Linked DNA regions of Yarrowia lipolytica. Each later gene encodes a partner of the first gene's protein in a complex. Links are inferred from orthologs where the notes say so. Each region holds a gene or a part of one and is shown on either strand. Other genes may lie near its edges.

The links. Proteins that work in one complex are often made in the same cells at the same time.
Region 2: YALI1_D22704g (region 1) and YALI1_E15274g share a complex: the UniProt entries of both Saccharomyces cerevisiae proteins name them as parts of the mitochondrial large ribosomal subunit. The link is inferred for Yarrowia lipolytica from reciprocal best matches to the Saccharomyces cerevisiae genes MRPL3 and MRP20.
Region 3: YALI1_D22704g (region 1) and YALI1_C25301g share a complex: the UniProt entries of both Saccharomyces cerevisiae proteins name them as parts of the mitochondrial large ribosomal subunit. The link is inferred for Yarrowia lipolytica from reciprocal best matches to the Saccharomyces cerevisiae genes MRPL3 and MRPL16.

The regions. Positions count from the first base shown.
Region 1 is NC_090773.1:2,268,340-2,272,991, forward strand, and holds YALI1_D22704g (mitochondrial 54S ribosomal protein mL44), read left to right. Parts: upstream 1-2,067; coding exon 2,068-3,261; downstream 3,262-4,652. Other genes in the region: YALI1_D22663g (uncharacterized protein), read left to right, coding at 1-9; YALI1_D22691g (uncharacterized protein), read right to left, coding at 490-759, 1,334-1,336. UniProt on the Saccharomyces cerevisiae protein: Component of the mitochondrial ribosome (mitoribosome), a dedicated translation machinery responsible for the synthesis of mitochondrial genome-encoded proteins, including at least some of the essential transmembrane subunits of the mitochondrial respiratory chain.
Region 2 is NC_090774.1:1,524,893-1,529,090, reverse strand, and holds YALI1_E15274g (mitochondrial 54S ribosomal protein uL23m), read right to left. Parts: upstream 1,707-4,198; coding exon 918-1,706; downstream 1-917. Other genes in the region: YALI1_E15318g (uncharacterized protein), read left to right, coding at 1-468; YALI1_E15256g (uncharacterized protein), read right to left, coding at 1,963-3,480. UniProt on the Saccharomyces cerevisiae protein: Component of the mitochondrial ribosome (mitoribosome), a dedicated translation machinery responsible for the synthesis of mitochondrial genome-encoded proteins, including at least some of the essential transmembrane subunits of the mitochondrial respiratory chain.
Region 3 is NC_090772.1:2,528,460-2,532,860, forward strand, and holds YALI1_C25301g (uncharacterized protein), read right to left. Parts: upstream 1,757-4,401; coding exon 1,704-1,756; intron 1,651-1,703; coding exon 918-1,650; downstream 1-917. Other genes in the region: YALI1_C25288g (uncharacterized protein), read right to left, coding at 1-367; YALI1_C25307g (uncharacterized protein), read left to right, coding at 2,256-3,179; YALI1_C25336g (uncharacterized protein), read right to left, coding at 3,367-4,401. UniProt on the Saccharomyces cerevisiae protein: Component of the mitochondrial ribosome (mitoribosome), a dedicated translation machinery responsible for the synthesis of mitochondrial genome-encoded proteins, including at least some of the essential transmembrane subunits of the mitochondrial respiratory chain.

The DNA.
Region 1 (4,652 bases):
AGGATCTGAGGGGTGCCACTGCGATTGATACCACGGCCCCGTCAAGAGTGTCTGCATACCGAGGGGCGTATCATATACTAATTAATATTTATTTATACACTGCAACGAAAATCGAGCTTCCACGGTTTAATGGTGGCAAGTGGGGAACAACCGATTGGAGTATAACGCCGCCCGAACTACACCCAGTTGAACAGGCAGTACATATACTCATCTGTCGTATCGATTTCATCTGCAGCACGACGGAGTCTCGGCTGGGTCTGCATGTTCACGATACAAGGACTTGTGCTCTCAGACGCTCTTCCAGAGATATTAAACCACAGGATATCTACGCGACACAGGTTTCAAGCAGTAATTGTACGAAATACAAGTAGCCAGACACCCGAAGCATCCTGCAGCGATAGTGATTGGGTCTACAACCAACTTGCTGTGACACTACAAGTAGTGACTGCACAAGTGTCGGCATGGTTCATTCAAATCAATCTATTGTGTTTACTCAGACTCAGCAGCCTCACCGGTGCTGATCTTGCCGTGTCGCTCTCTCCACACGCCGGCAGCGGCATTCCACTTGGAAATGTCGGACTCGGAGGTGATGCCCTCTCGTCGTCGGGTGTAGGGAAGGGTGGCGGTAGAAACCCACAGGGCCAGGCCGACGGCGATGCCGGTGGCGAAAAGGCCGTTGAGCTTCCAGTTGGAGGGGTTGGCCCACCAGCCTCCGGTCATAGAAATGACGTCTTTAGGGAATGGATATCGTCCTCCGCCCTGGGTTAGAAGAGTCAAATGAGACAAAAGCGCCGTTACGGCGAGTTATGGAGTATTGAGAAACGATGATATTAGCTTGGGTCGTTGTTCGTTGCGTCTGGTTGTCGTGCTCGGGGTCCACTGCCTTGAGCGCGTCCGAGCGTTTCCACGAGCAGTGCGATGAGACTGTCATTGGAGTGAACTGAGCAGTGAAAATGACGGGTCCATGACGTTCATTCATTCATACGTGGCATCTCTGCTCACGATCTCAGACACAACTTGACATGCTGCTGCAACCATTGGATGGTCATACCCCACATTCACCCACCGTGTCTGTTCAATGACAGCTCAGATCAAGCGCCGAGGTCAGCTTCGATCTTCCAGCAAGCAGCTCGCACAGCCCTTGTCGTTATCACGCAGCCCTTATCGTTGTCGTTTCACCCAGACACATGTCATCGCATCTCATCTCATCACTGGGTCATATGTCGCTCCAAAGTCCGATTCGAACCAACAAAAAACCACCCATGTCCTCGTCGCATGCGTAGCACACGTTCTCGTCGCTTTCTCGCCCTCCAATCCTTCCGCTCGCACTCACCATTTTGATATATGTTGCAGTTAGTGTGTGGATTACCTTTCTGCAAACCTCTAGTCTTTGGCTGGTCGGTGATTGGTGGTTGGGAGCGAACTCTATTTTTATTAGTCAGCCGGGACACGGATATGGAGACATGCTCGATTCGCCATTATACCAATTTGGATAAATTAGGAAAAATGTGGATAATAAATTGACAAGAATTTTAGGTGATTGCAAAATTAATGACTAAAATATAATTTTTTTGAGATACTCGGGCTGTTTTGGGAACTATTGGGAACATACTCACAACAAGTTGAAACAAATCATAATATAATGATTAAGCTAAAACAAATCAAAATATAATGAACAAGTTGAAACAAATCAGAGTAAATATATGAACATGATCAGAAACTAATGGAGAAATCAATCAGATGATAATTAAAGTGCTAATAAAATCGATTGCATCTTTCAATTTTTTTCATAATTTCAATTTTTCACCATATAATGAAATTCCTCATGTCCCTTCTACATACAGATTACGAGCGTTGTTATATATCAATAATACCACTTTTTTTTGAAAAAAAAAGCCATATACACTAAATAACTCATTTCAAACTATTTATCACTACCCAAACTCTAACAAAGGTCGACACTCGCCCAGAAACTACCACCCTCCTCCCACACCCTAACCCTGTGCATCATGAAAATTTCCCTACAGCTGTACTCACAACTCACTTTCCACATATCACCACGACAGGATGATTCGAACCAGTCGACTTTTGCGGGTGTCTCGAGTGGCCGTGTCCCGGTCCAGACTCATCACGTGCGCCCCGAGAAGCTTCACCTCTGACCACAAACCCAAGACTCCTCCCCAGGCCCCCACCATGGACCCCACAGCTCTTCGGTACCCCAACTCTGATCTGAGTGTCAATCTTCGAGACGTGGCCAAGGGCGACTACCTCGTCCCCGGTGACTTGGCCCGACAGTCGCCTGCTCTCAAAACTCTGCATGCTCGTCTTGGTCTGCCCGAGGCTCTGCCGTTGTCTACTCTGGCCCAGTGTCTGACCTGTCCCGAGGCCGACACTGTGGGAGAGGACGGCCGAAAGCTGGCCGACAACTACGGCATGTCTGTGTTTGGCGGCAGTCTGCTCAAGTATCACGTGACGGAGAAGTTTGTGGTCCAGTACCCCCGGCTTCCTCTACCCATTCTCAACTCACTGCTGGACTCCCATCTGAGTCTGCGATCTCTGACTCGTCTGGCCGAGTCCTGGGGTGTCGAGACCGACCGACGATCTGCCTTTGAGCGACACATGTCCAACGACTCGCTCGCAAACACCCTGGGTTACCTGAGATACAAGCCCGTGGAGGACGACGTCAGCAACGCCTCCAAGGACGGTGTGTTCGACTCCTACACTCCCCGATCCGACGTGAAGAAATACAACCAGAAGCAAAAGAAAAACTCGCAGCACAACTACGACTCGCAGGTCTACGTGTTTGACTCGTCAGCTCCCGAGGGCTACGAGCGATCGGCTGCCCGGTTTGTGCAGGCTCTGGTGGCCGCCATCCACGCACACGTGTCGCGAGACGAGGCGCTTAAGTTCATCGACAACTTCATTCTGTCGCGAGCCGTCGACGTTGAGTCGCTCTTCTCCTTCAACCAGCCCCACAAGGAGATTGTGCGAGTGTGTGCACGAGAGGGACTGGAGCGACCTGAGGCCCGACTCATGGCCGAGACCGGCCGTCTGTCCAAGGCCCCCGTCTTTGTTGTTGGTGTCTTTTCCGGCAAGCACAAGCTTGGAGAAGGCCAGGGAGCGTCGCTTGCCGAGGCCAAGATCCGAGCTTCGGTCAACGCTCTCAAGGGATACTACCTGTACTCCCCCATTGAGCAGACCCGACCCCAGGAAGAGGGGTACAATGGGACTTTTATCGACAAGGGTCCCGTTGTTATTTAGTGTATATAGTAGAGCTGAGGCATGACACAAGGAGTGCCGGAGACGTCGACGTCGAATAAAATGATTCAATGAGCATGGGGAGCGGGAACAGGTATGTTTCGAGTAGACAACTGAATTCTCTGCGATCATTCAGTTTGTAGACTAGCTACATTTTCGTTACCCATTCTACGAATGTTTTGTAAAGAACTGAAGTGGTCTGGTTGGAGTGCACTCCTTACCTATTGCTTGTTGATGATGAAGCAGCATACTTGAAATATTAGTGGAAGGTTCCTGCACCGGAGTCTAGGTGATGATGTCGAGAACGTGGGGCAGAGTCGCGCAGTAGAGAGGATGGTGGAGAGCTGTATACTCGATAAAAACAAAATGGACCAAAATAAAACAGCTTTGACACACTTTTTATTTGTAGACGTCTTTTGCAGTATTCTTGAGATGTCGGTTAGAGAACAGGGAGAGATATACAATTGATGACATCTGCATCAATATAACAGCTACAATAGAGGCGAGTTGATGGTGTGAAAATTGGGGTTGCAATTGACACCAATATGCTCCAGCTCTCCAGAGCGGCCGTCTTCGGTATCGTTCCTAGCACCGTTTGGTGTACCGTATGATAAGGCCACATTCAGCACTTTGAAGATAACAATGGTAGAGATCGGTATACTGTCGACAACTTTACATTTCCAACAGGGTCGACTTTTATCGACTCTACTTTCTGTTCTTTCTAAGCTGGCAGTTTGTTTACCCCAAAGCACGTGGTTATCGCGACCACTGGAAGTCCTGTGCGAGTGCGAGTACATACTGTACACCGACAATCAGAGAATACAAAACACTGGTTCAATCAGGGTATCTTCTTCAACAGTTCAAATATGCCATGTGACATGGATCGTAGCACAGTACTGAAACCTATTGTCGACACAGCCCGCCGACACAGCCCGGCGACACAGTCCGGCGACACCGCCCAGCGACACAGTCCGAACAGGCTGGGTTTTTTCCAGACAAGAAAGGAGACATGGTCCGCCAGACCAAAGTCCAAGATTGGGTGGCTCGGCCAAATGGTGACAAGTCAGACTAGAGTTACATTACACAATTTGCGAGGTTATCCGCCGTAAAACTTCTCTCCTTCGACCAGGCCACCATACACTGTCCAAGAGGGCAGTATGGAAAGCGGATTGCCAAGGTGGCCGAGGTGGTTGAGCGAAACCAGAAGCGGCAGATTGCTGCGCTGGAGAAATGCTCAAGAGCGCGGAGAAAACCATTAAAATCAGCATCTACAACCTCAAGCAGAAGGCCCCCAAGACTGTGTCGGTTGAGGACAAGAAGGTGAGCATGGTGAGTTTGTAGAGAAAGATGTTTGGAAGAAAATGTGTACATAATAACAGTAATTGACCAAAAAA
Region 2 (4,198 bases), on another chromosome or scaffold:
CGGTACCAAGATCTGGACGAACGATTCCGAACATACGCCGCGTCTTCAGAGGCCGAGAACCTGTCTCCTGGCGCTGGTGAGCTGTTCAACAACACTAACCAAAAGAGTCTGCTTGGTTACGACGTGGAGTCCATTGGAGAGTCTTCTGGGAACTCCCACAGAACCACCAAGCAGTCGTCAGCGTCTTTAGCCGGCTCGGACTCGGCTTACTACCGAGGAGTGCCCATTGGAGGCAACTCGAAGACACCTTCTCCTGCAGTTGAGCACTTGGGCATGAACTTTGGAGGCCACGGCAGCCACGCAACATCTGCTACTAACATCCCCCAGCCCCAGCCTCCTTCGCATTCGCACTCTACATCTCAGGATGAGGACTCTTCTCGGCCACGAGCTCGAGGGCGGGGAGGATGGCAGAATGCTGCTAGAAAGAGCGAATCCAAGAAGATCAACTCTTTCCGGGGTTTCTTATAAGGAAAACTGTGGCGCACAGTGGCGATGCGAAGGAAAAGGAACGCGTTAGCTGTATATATAATATTATTGGAGGTATGGACATGAATGGGGGAGACCTTTGTAGACGATTGGGTGTTTACAGTAACACCGCATTTCGCCTTTATGGTTAAGCAGATCATCCAAGTGAGCATCGACGATTGTACATGCTCAATCTATCAGGTCAAGTATTACTTCGTAAGATACGTACTTCTAGCTGCTGTACTTGTGATATGAACTCATGTTCAACACTTTGCTGTAGTTGTACTGTAACAACCCAGTGTACACTCATCTAATGTTTCCTTATAGACGTGATGGTAATAGTATGCTCGTAATAGATAACATGTTGAGCATATTCATTCTCTGCATTCCCATACTCATTCTCACTCTCTACAGTGTTTGCTATCATAACATATCCTTTCTATATACAGAGACTAGTTTGTCTTAGGCTGGGGAATGCCAGCCTGCTTGTTCTTGGCCAGGTAGAAGGCGATGTTTCGCATCTTCTCCTGCTGAGCCTCGGCCTCGGCCTCTCGTCGCTTGGAGCCGCCAAGCTTGGATGCCACCTTCTGGGCCACGAAAGGTGATCCGGCCTTCTTGTAGGGGCCCATAATTCCCCCAAAGGCAGTAGAGGGTCGATCTCGACTGGACCCAAGGGAATCAAGGCCGGTGACCTCGTCCATGAGCTTCTTGGTCTCTCTTGCCGACTCCTCCATCTTGGCCAGAAAGCCGTCAGTGTCCTCGGGCCACACAAAGGGCTCCTCCATCTCAATAGTCATCTTCTTGATCATTCGCTTTCGGTATCGGGGTCGGGTGGGGTTTTCTCGCTCAAATGCGGCGGGGAAAACCACGGACCGCACGTTGAGCGCTCGCAGACCGTAGACGTTGTACAGGTAGTCTCGCAGTTCCATCTTGTTCATGTGCAGAGGAGTGAGAAAGGACGCCTGGTAGGGGGTCAGCTTGGCATTGGGTCGCACAAGAATAACCTGCTCCTTAGGGAACCACACCTCCCGCTTACCCAGCGCGAAATGGGCGTCGCCAGACTCGATGCCCTGCTCCAGCTTGGCAACTCGCTCTTCCTGGTTCAAGGGTCGATGCAGAGGCAGCCCGCCCTTGTACTTGTTGGCGTCGATGCCGGAGGCCTGCTTGGTGGGCAGAGTGATGGTAGGTCGCTGTAACTTGGCGACCGTTGCGCCGAATCGAGACACCCCGGAAAGTCGCATTTTGTGTGTATGTGTTTCGGGTGTTTGAAAGCTTTCTTGATCCCAGTCGGCCCAGAGCCATGCAGTATTTTTCACTGCGGTTAGGGTTTGAGGAGGTGAGGGCAAGTGCGTTTGGCTGTGTGGTTGTTGGTTCGATTACAATATATGCATATATAAAAATCTACTAATACTTCGGCTACTCAGAGATACTTGTACAACAAGTTAAAATTGTAATCATCTATTGTCACATATATAAATACTTGGCTCGGTTGTTTTGTCACTTCGACTTGGTCATAGACATCCATCGAGTTCCATCAAGATCAAACAAATGAACATCGACTGGGAACGTGACTCCCACAGCTTGAAGCATTCGCAAGCTCTGGAAACAGGCCAACAGCTTGTTGTAGAACCGACGATCCGTTGCTTCCATTGCGCACGACTTGCGGGCCATCAACTTACGCTCCTTTCGTGAGTACCTTCGCAGAGCAAACACTCCCTCGTCGTTCCATGCTTCCTTCAAGTACTTGACCACCCTATCCCTCATGTGATGGGCGTCAAATTCAAGTTTGGTGTTTCGGACGTTGGGAGACGTGGCCATGATTTCTATCCAAATGGCGTTGATCAGATCCGAAGTCTTCCACGTCTTGACCGCTCGCAAAAGCTCCTCCTTTTGGAACAGCTGGTAATGTGAACCGGTCTTGTTGTATCTTGCTCTCTCGTGGTCGGTAATAGGCACGTCCATCTCTCCTAACGTTTCTCCAATCCGCACAAACTCACGCACATGAGATGTCACAAAGTCCTTTTCGGGGAACACCTGCATCAGTCTCTGGGCACAGATCTCGTACGCCACAGATCGCCACCTTCGTCCAGCGTCAAAGGCATACTCAAACTCCTTGGGCTCACACATGACGGGTAGCAGCACGTATCCGTATCCATACTCGATCCATGCGTTCGCAGCTGTATGCATTAACAACTCGTCGTGCTGTTGGCCAAAGATCTGGTATGCTCTTCGAGTGACAGGTTCGGCGAGATATTCGCCTACAGATGAGTAACTGGCCTTGGCTAGCAGCTGTTGTTGCTGTTGTGAAAACTCTAGGTACCCCTCTTCCTCCTCGTACTTTTTCGCTTGTGAAGGTCCCTTTCCACTGTGTTTCATGACAGAGTATGCCAGTAGGGTAGGTTTGACTCCGATCCAGTTGGCGACTGTTCGTGAGACTGGTAGGGCATACAGAACCGAGTTCTCCAACCCTCCTACCAGGGTGTTGACAACGTGCACGTTTTCCGGAAAGTCGAACGCGCAGAAACCTGAGTCGTTGGAGATGATGTGAACGGCCTTGTTGGAGTTCAGTTTGGCGTAGTTGAAGACCAGACAGGCCAGATCCCGGTCTGCCTCGCCTGGAGACACCAAGCACGGGACATTTGGGAACTTGGACTGGATCGTATCGAGACACAGAGCTCCACAAAGAACGGTCAGAGCGAGACTCTGGGCATGCAGAGCCGTGGGGAGGGACTCCATGGCCCGTTTGCGTCTGCCGTCCATTTTGTCTGTGGGCACCAGGCCGTCAAACAGCACGAGCTGAATATCCCATTTGTGTTGGCCGATCCAACAGTTGAAGAGCTCCTCCAACTTCATGGCCACGCCACGCATGTCGTAACGGCTGCCTGGATCAACCATGTTGGCGATTTGGTGGGCCATGATGTGCCCGTCCACGAAGACAACACCTTTGCCGATCTGGTCCAACGTCAGCGGCGTGAACCGCTCTCTCATAGTGCTAAAGTAGCCTTTGATTCCCATTTTTCGTCGAGTGGAATCAATTGCAGCGCCAGAGACACCACCCCAACATTATAAACTGCCAGCCTCGGGCTAGACCTCCGGAGCTAGATTTTTTGCTTGCATCCCTAGCGCGCTACTAGGTCGGTAGTTTAATTAGAGCTTGTTGGTGGATGTGCAAAACAAGGGGCTCGGGGCTTGGCTGACTCTCTGGAGAGGCGGTGTGGGCGAAGGACAGACGACATGGCGCGCTTTGGCGTCTCCCCGACTGCCTGTGGCGTAGTTTGCTGCCAAGCGTCCTCTTATCTCGGACTTGTCTCTGCGGTATATCTTAGGTTACACTGTCGTTGGTTCGTAGGTTACGAATGTACCATCGGTTATTAGAGACGGGTGTATTGAGAGTGAATGGGGATATTTTGTGGTGATGAAAAGTCGATTATTTCCGCCTCCAGTATGCCGCGCGGTAATTTCAAGTCTCATAATCATGACTGTACGTCCCAATTATCGCAGCGTGGGCTATGTTCCTGGCTGTGTCGTGTACATACTGTACAAACAGTATATACTCACACTCACATTTAGTTATGCGTCTATATTTAGCTCGCTTGTGCATAACCATAAGTGAGATTGAAACGGCGTGACTTGATCATGTGGAGTGAGGAAGAAAGGAGTCTGTACAGGTTTTGGCGGGTGTAGACATTATGTGAGGGGTTTGAGAGCAATATGTTTGTTCTACAAATAGCGC
Region 3 (4,401 bases), on another chromosome or scaffold:
AGCCGTAGAACAGGTTGAACCGGTCTTTGAGAGCCACCTTTCGGTCCTCTCCATTCTCCTTGTTGGCAGCCGCCGCCTTTGTCGTCGGAATCTTTTTCACAGGCATTTTTCGCGGCGTGTTTTTGAGAGTCGGCTTGACGGCCTTGGTCTTGGATTTGCTGGACTTGCTGGGCACGTAGTCCACCTCCATCTCGTCACCGTAGTTGCCATCTTCCTCCTCAGCCTTGACCTCGTTCACATCCACGTCCATGTCGTCATCTTCCACGGTCGGTTCAATGCCGGGGTTGAAGTCCGAGTCCGAGTCGTCACCCGCAAAGTCGTCGCCCTCCATCACGTAGGAGGGCCGAGGACGCCTTGATCGTGTCATTGTGGGTTGCTGGTGGAAAAAAGTCGCGTTCCTGTGTTTTTTTCAGGTCCGTAATTTTCGAACGTTATTGCATATCTCGCATAAACCTTGGCTGGGTAGTGTGAGGATGCTGAGTACGAAATAGAATATATATCCTGGTGAATAGTACGTGTTTGTGAAGAAACCGTGTTTCAGTTGGCAGATAATGTCTCTCAAACAACCTCTTTGGTCTCTAATTTGGATCCAGTACCGAGAATATAGCGCACGAGTACACAGGTCCAACGTCGTAAAAAAGGAGTCATACGACCTATGATCCAGCTTGCAATGGCATCACAAGTACAGTATTGTACAGTATGTGCCGGTATATACTGAGATATCGATATACCCCATAGTAACACCTTGGTTTGCACTTTACAACGTCTAGCAAACAACAGAGATTGCTCACCCTTCCGATTCGTAACTCTTCACTGGAACCAAGGTTTCGTCACTGTACTGGCGCGTTTGTTGATACAAGTCTTCTACACACATCTACATTTCACACTCTCAATATCAAATATGTTACTATATACATTTATCGTCGTCGGTACTTGACAAACTCCTCCTTCTTGGAGTCCTCCAGGGCCTGGAACCGCTTGGTGGGGTTCTCGGACATCTCCTGCAGGTAGTTTCGGGGGGTGGCCTCGGGGACCTCCTGGGAGCCAACAACAGGCAGATCGCCCTTCTTGATCACCTCCCATCGGCCCGGCAGACGCCTGGAAGCTCGCTTGAAGGCCTCCTTGACAACCTGGTCGTGCATCTGGCCTCCAACCTCAAATACCACCTTTCCAGTGGGCCATCGGGTGGCCATGTTCTCGATATCTCCCTTACCCTTACCCATTCGGATATTGACACCCTTTCGAGTGACGGGGGTGGAGAGCAGAAACCGTCGGTAGAGCTGAGAGCCGGGAGCGGCCTTTCGAATCAGCTGAGCAATGGCTCCGTCAGCGGCCTTGAGCTGCTTGTCAAACAGCCGCACACCCTCAGAAACAAGACGCAGGCCCCACTGGCCAAACTCGACCGTGGAGCCTCGAGTGGATCCTCCGGTTCGGACAGTGATTCGGCCTCGCTGGGCCTTTCGTAGGTTCTTGAATCGAGGTGCATACTCGTGCTTGTGTCGAATGGAGCCCAGAGTGGGAACAGCAAAAGGAGACACGACAGTAGGGCGGGTAGCTGAGTTAGTACGGCCGTCAGAGGAGCACGGTATTGAGGGTGGTCGACTCGGATAGACCTGTTGGAATGACAGGGATTCCTTATTCCCTAGGTTCCTTAAGTTGTGCAGTCATTCGTGAACTTCCGATCCGAAATTTTTCACTCTCACCGTGTCGTTTGGCACGGTCGTATTGTCGCTGAGAATCGATCTGCTGATTGCATGGCTTCGCTGAATGCCTTCCAAGTCTCTTCCTTCCCCATTTCTAGCGTTACTCACCCCGTAGTCCGTTTACCAGTCGAGCCAGCATTTTGGTGATTGTGAAAAAATTAGCTCGTGTATTTGTTCAGATGGCTGATGAGTAAGCTGCACGAAGTTTATTCGACAGCAGGACATGCAGTACTTAGCCTTTAGTTGAACATGCTAAGTAACTCCCAACTGCTCAAGTACACCACACAAGGGCATCAGACAGGGGATGGGGACCGGAAAAAACATGAGCACTTGCTTAACATACAGTCATGTGACCTTAATATACCCCTCAACCACCACAAGCCCTTCCAACCCCTCTCTAACTCAGCGTATCAGTACATTCGTCGACGTTCGAACTGCCGGGTAACTGGGCCAATCTCATATCGTCACGTGATTCAGGATTCTGAAAATATTAATCCCAACCTAACCAAAAATTGCAGCATAGAGCAAATCGACCACTACAAGTAATCCAGCATGGCCAAATTCGACATCAAAGAGACATATCTGCGCTTTCTGCGGGACGACCCCGACATCACCATGCCTGTCGCGGCCATTGAGGCCCTGGTCCAGCTGCTCAGTGAGACCGAAACCAGCACATCAGCCGAGCTGATTCAGACTCTCAAGGAGGCGAGCGCGGAGCTCAAGACGTCTGTGGACAACTCTATGTCGCTTTCTGCAGGCTGTGATCTGTTTATGCGATTTGTGTTGCGAAATATCCGGGAATATGGCGACTGGGAGGCCTGCAAGGGCCATTTGGTAAAGAACGGAAGGCTGTTTGCCGAGCGAAGTAAGGCTGCTCGAAAGACCATTTCGGAAAAGGGTCTAGCATTTGTGCGGGATGACGATGTCATTCTGGTCCACTCTTTCTCGCGAACGGTACTGGCCCTTCTGGAACATGCTGCTAAGAACTTGGTGCGTTTCAGAGTGTTTGTCACAGAGGCTGCTCCTAGTGATCAGGGTAAGCGAATGGCCAAGGCATTGAGGGAGAGAGGCATTCCCGTGAGTCTAATTGTGGACAACGCCGTCGGATCTGTGATTGACGAGGTGTCCAAGGTGTTTTGTGGTGCCGAGGGAGTGGCGGAGTCTGGAGGAGTCATCAACCACGTCGGATCATATCAGATTGCCGTGCTAGCCAAGAACGCAAATAAGCCCTTCTACGTGGTCACCGAGAGTCACAAGTTTGTGCGAATCTTCCCTCTGGCCCAGGCCGATCTGCCAGACACCAAAAAGATGTTCCACTTCACTGTTGAGGAGCCCGAGGAGCAGAATGCCGACAAGGGTCTGTCGCCAGTCGTCGACTTTACGCCTCACGATTACATCACTGCACTTATCACAGATCTGGGAGTTCTCACTCCAAGTGGCGTTTCTGAGGAGCTGATTAAAATGTGGTATGAGTAAGACTGACGGGAGTGGCACAGTGCGTGGAGTATATAGATAATGGAAAGGTATGCAATGGTTCATTGGATAATGGAGGTGCGGTCAGGGGAATGATTACAACAAGATAATCATGTATAATTTATTCGTACACAATTGTACTTTTACAAGTGCCCTCACAACGGACGGACTAGCCAATTCTAGTCGACTTCTACTTATAGTCTGCGACTTCTTCAACGTCACCAGGGATTTTCGCGACATCTTCGACATGTTTAGGGATTCCAACAGCCTTGGCTTCCTTTTCCTTGAGAGCCACTTCCTCCTCCTCAATCTGCTCGGTGAACTTCTTCACTCGCTGATTCCACCAGTCGGACTTGCCCAGATGGTCGAGAGAGCTCTCGGCCTTGTCCTCCTCCTCCTCGGGCTGCACCAGCTTGATGGCAAACGTTCGGAAAGCGTCCTTGACGGTGTATTTGCCGCCTTCAACTAGATCCTTAGCCACCAGCTCTCGGGTTCGACCAAGAGACTCGATAGCAGATACTCGGTCGGCAGTCTCTTCGAGAAAATCATCAAACCCAGGCATGTCTGCAATTTCGTGAAAGGCCTGCATCATGGGAACAGAGTCGGCTCGTACTCGTGACAAGGAGTCAATGGTGAAAATGTTCAGGTTGTCGTAGACTTGAATGTAGTCGGGACGGGTCATGACCTGTCTGGCTCTCCATAGAGGCAACTCGGGCAGTTTGTGGTCGCTCAGATGCAAGGTGTTGTAGATAGACACGTCCTTGAGCCGTCGTCTATCCATCTCCACCAGTTCTCGCATCAGAAACATGGCGGAGGTGCTAAACTTACCACTTTCCATGACATCGTCATCCATATCTTCTCCAAGCAGACCACACTGGTTGAGAAACCAAGTCTTTTCTCGGTCAATCAGCTCCTGGCAAGCCTTGAGAATGTTCCTGTGTCCTGCGACATGAGCCAGATGTTGGGGTCTACCCCCAACAAGATCGTACACCCGGTTGGCTGTCTCCACGTCGCAAGAGATACCTCGAGCTCTCAGTCGAGCAAGCTGGAAAGCCTGAACGGACTGAGCTCGATCCAAATCCTTGATAGTGACAACCTCCAGGCGAGTTCCCAGCTTCTTGAGTCGTTCGTACAGCCAGTAGTCATCCGAGTTGAAAATCATAGTCACCAGACCAGCTCCAGAAAGAGCCTCGGCCTTCTGCTGGAGCAGCTCGACCAAATTGTT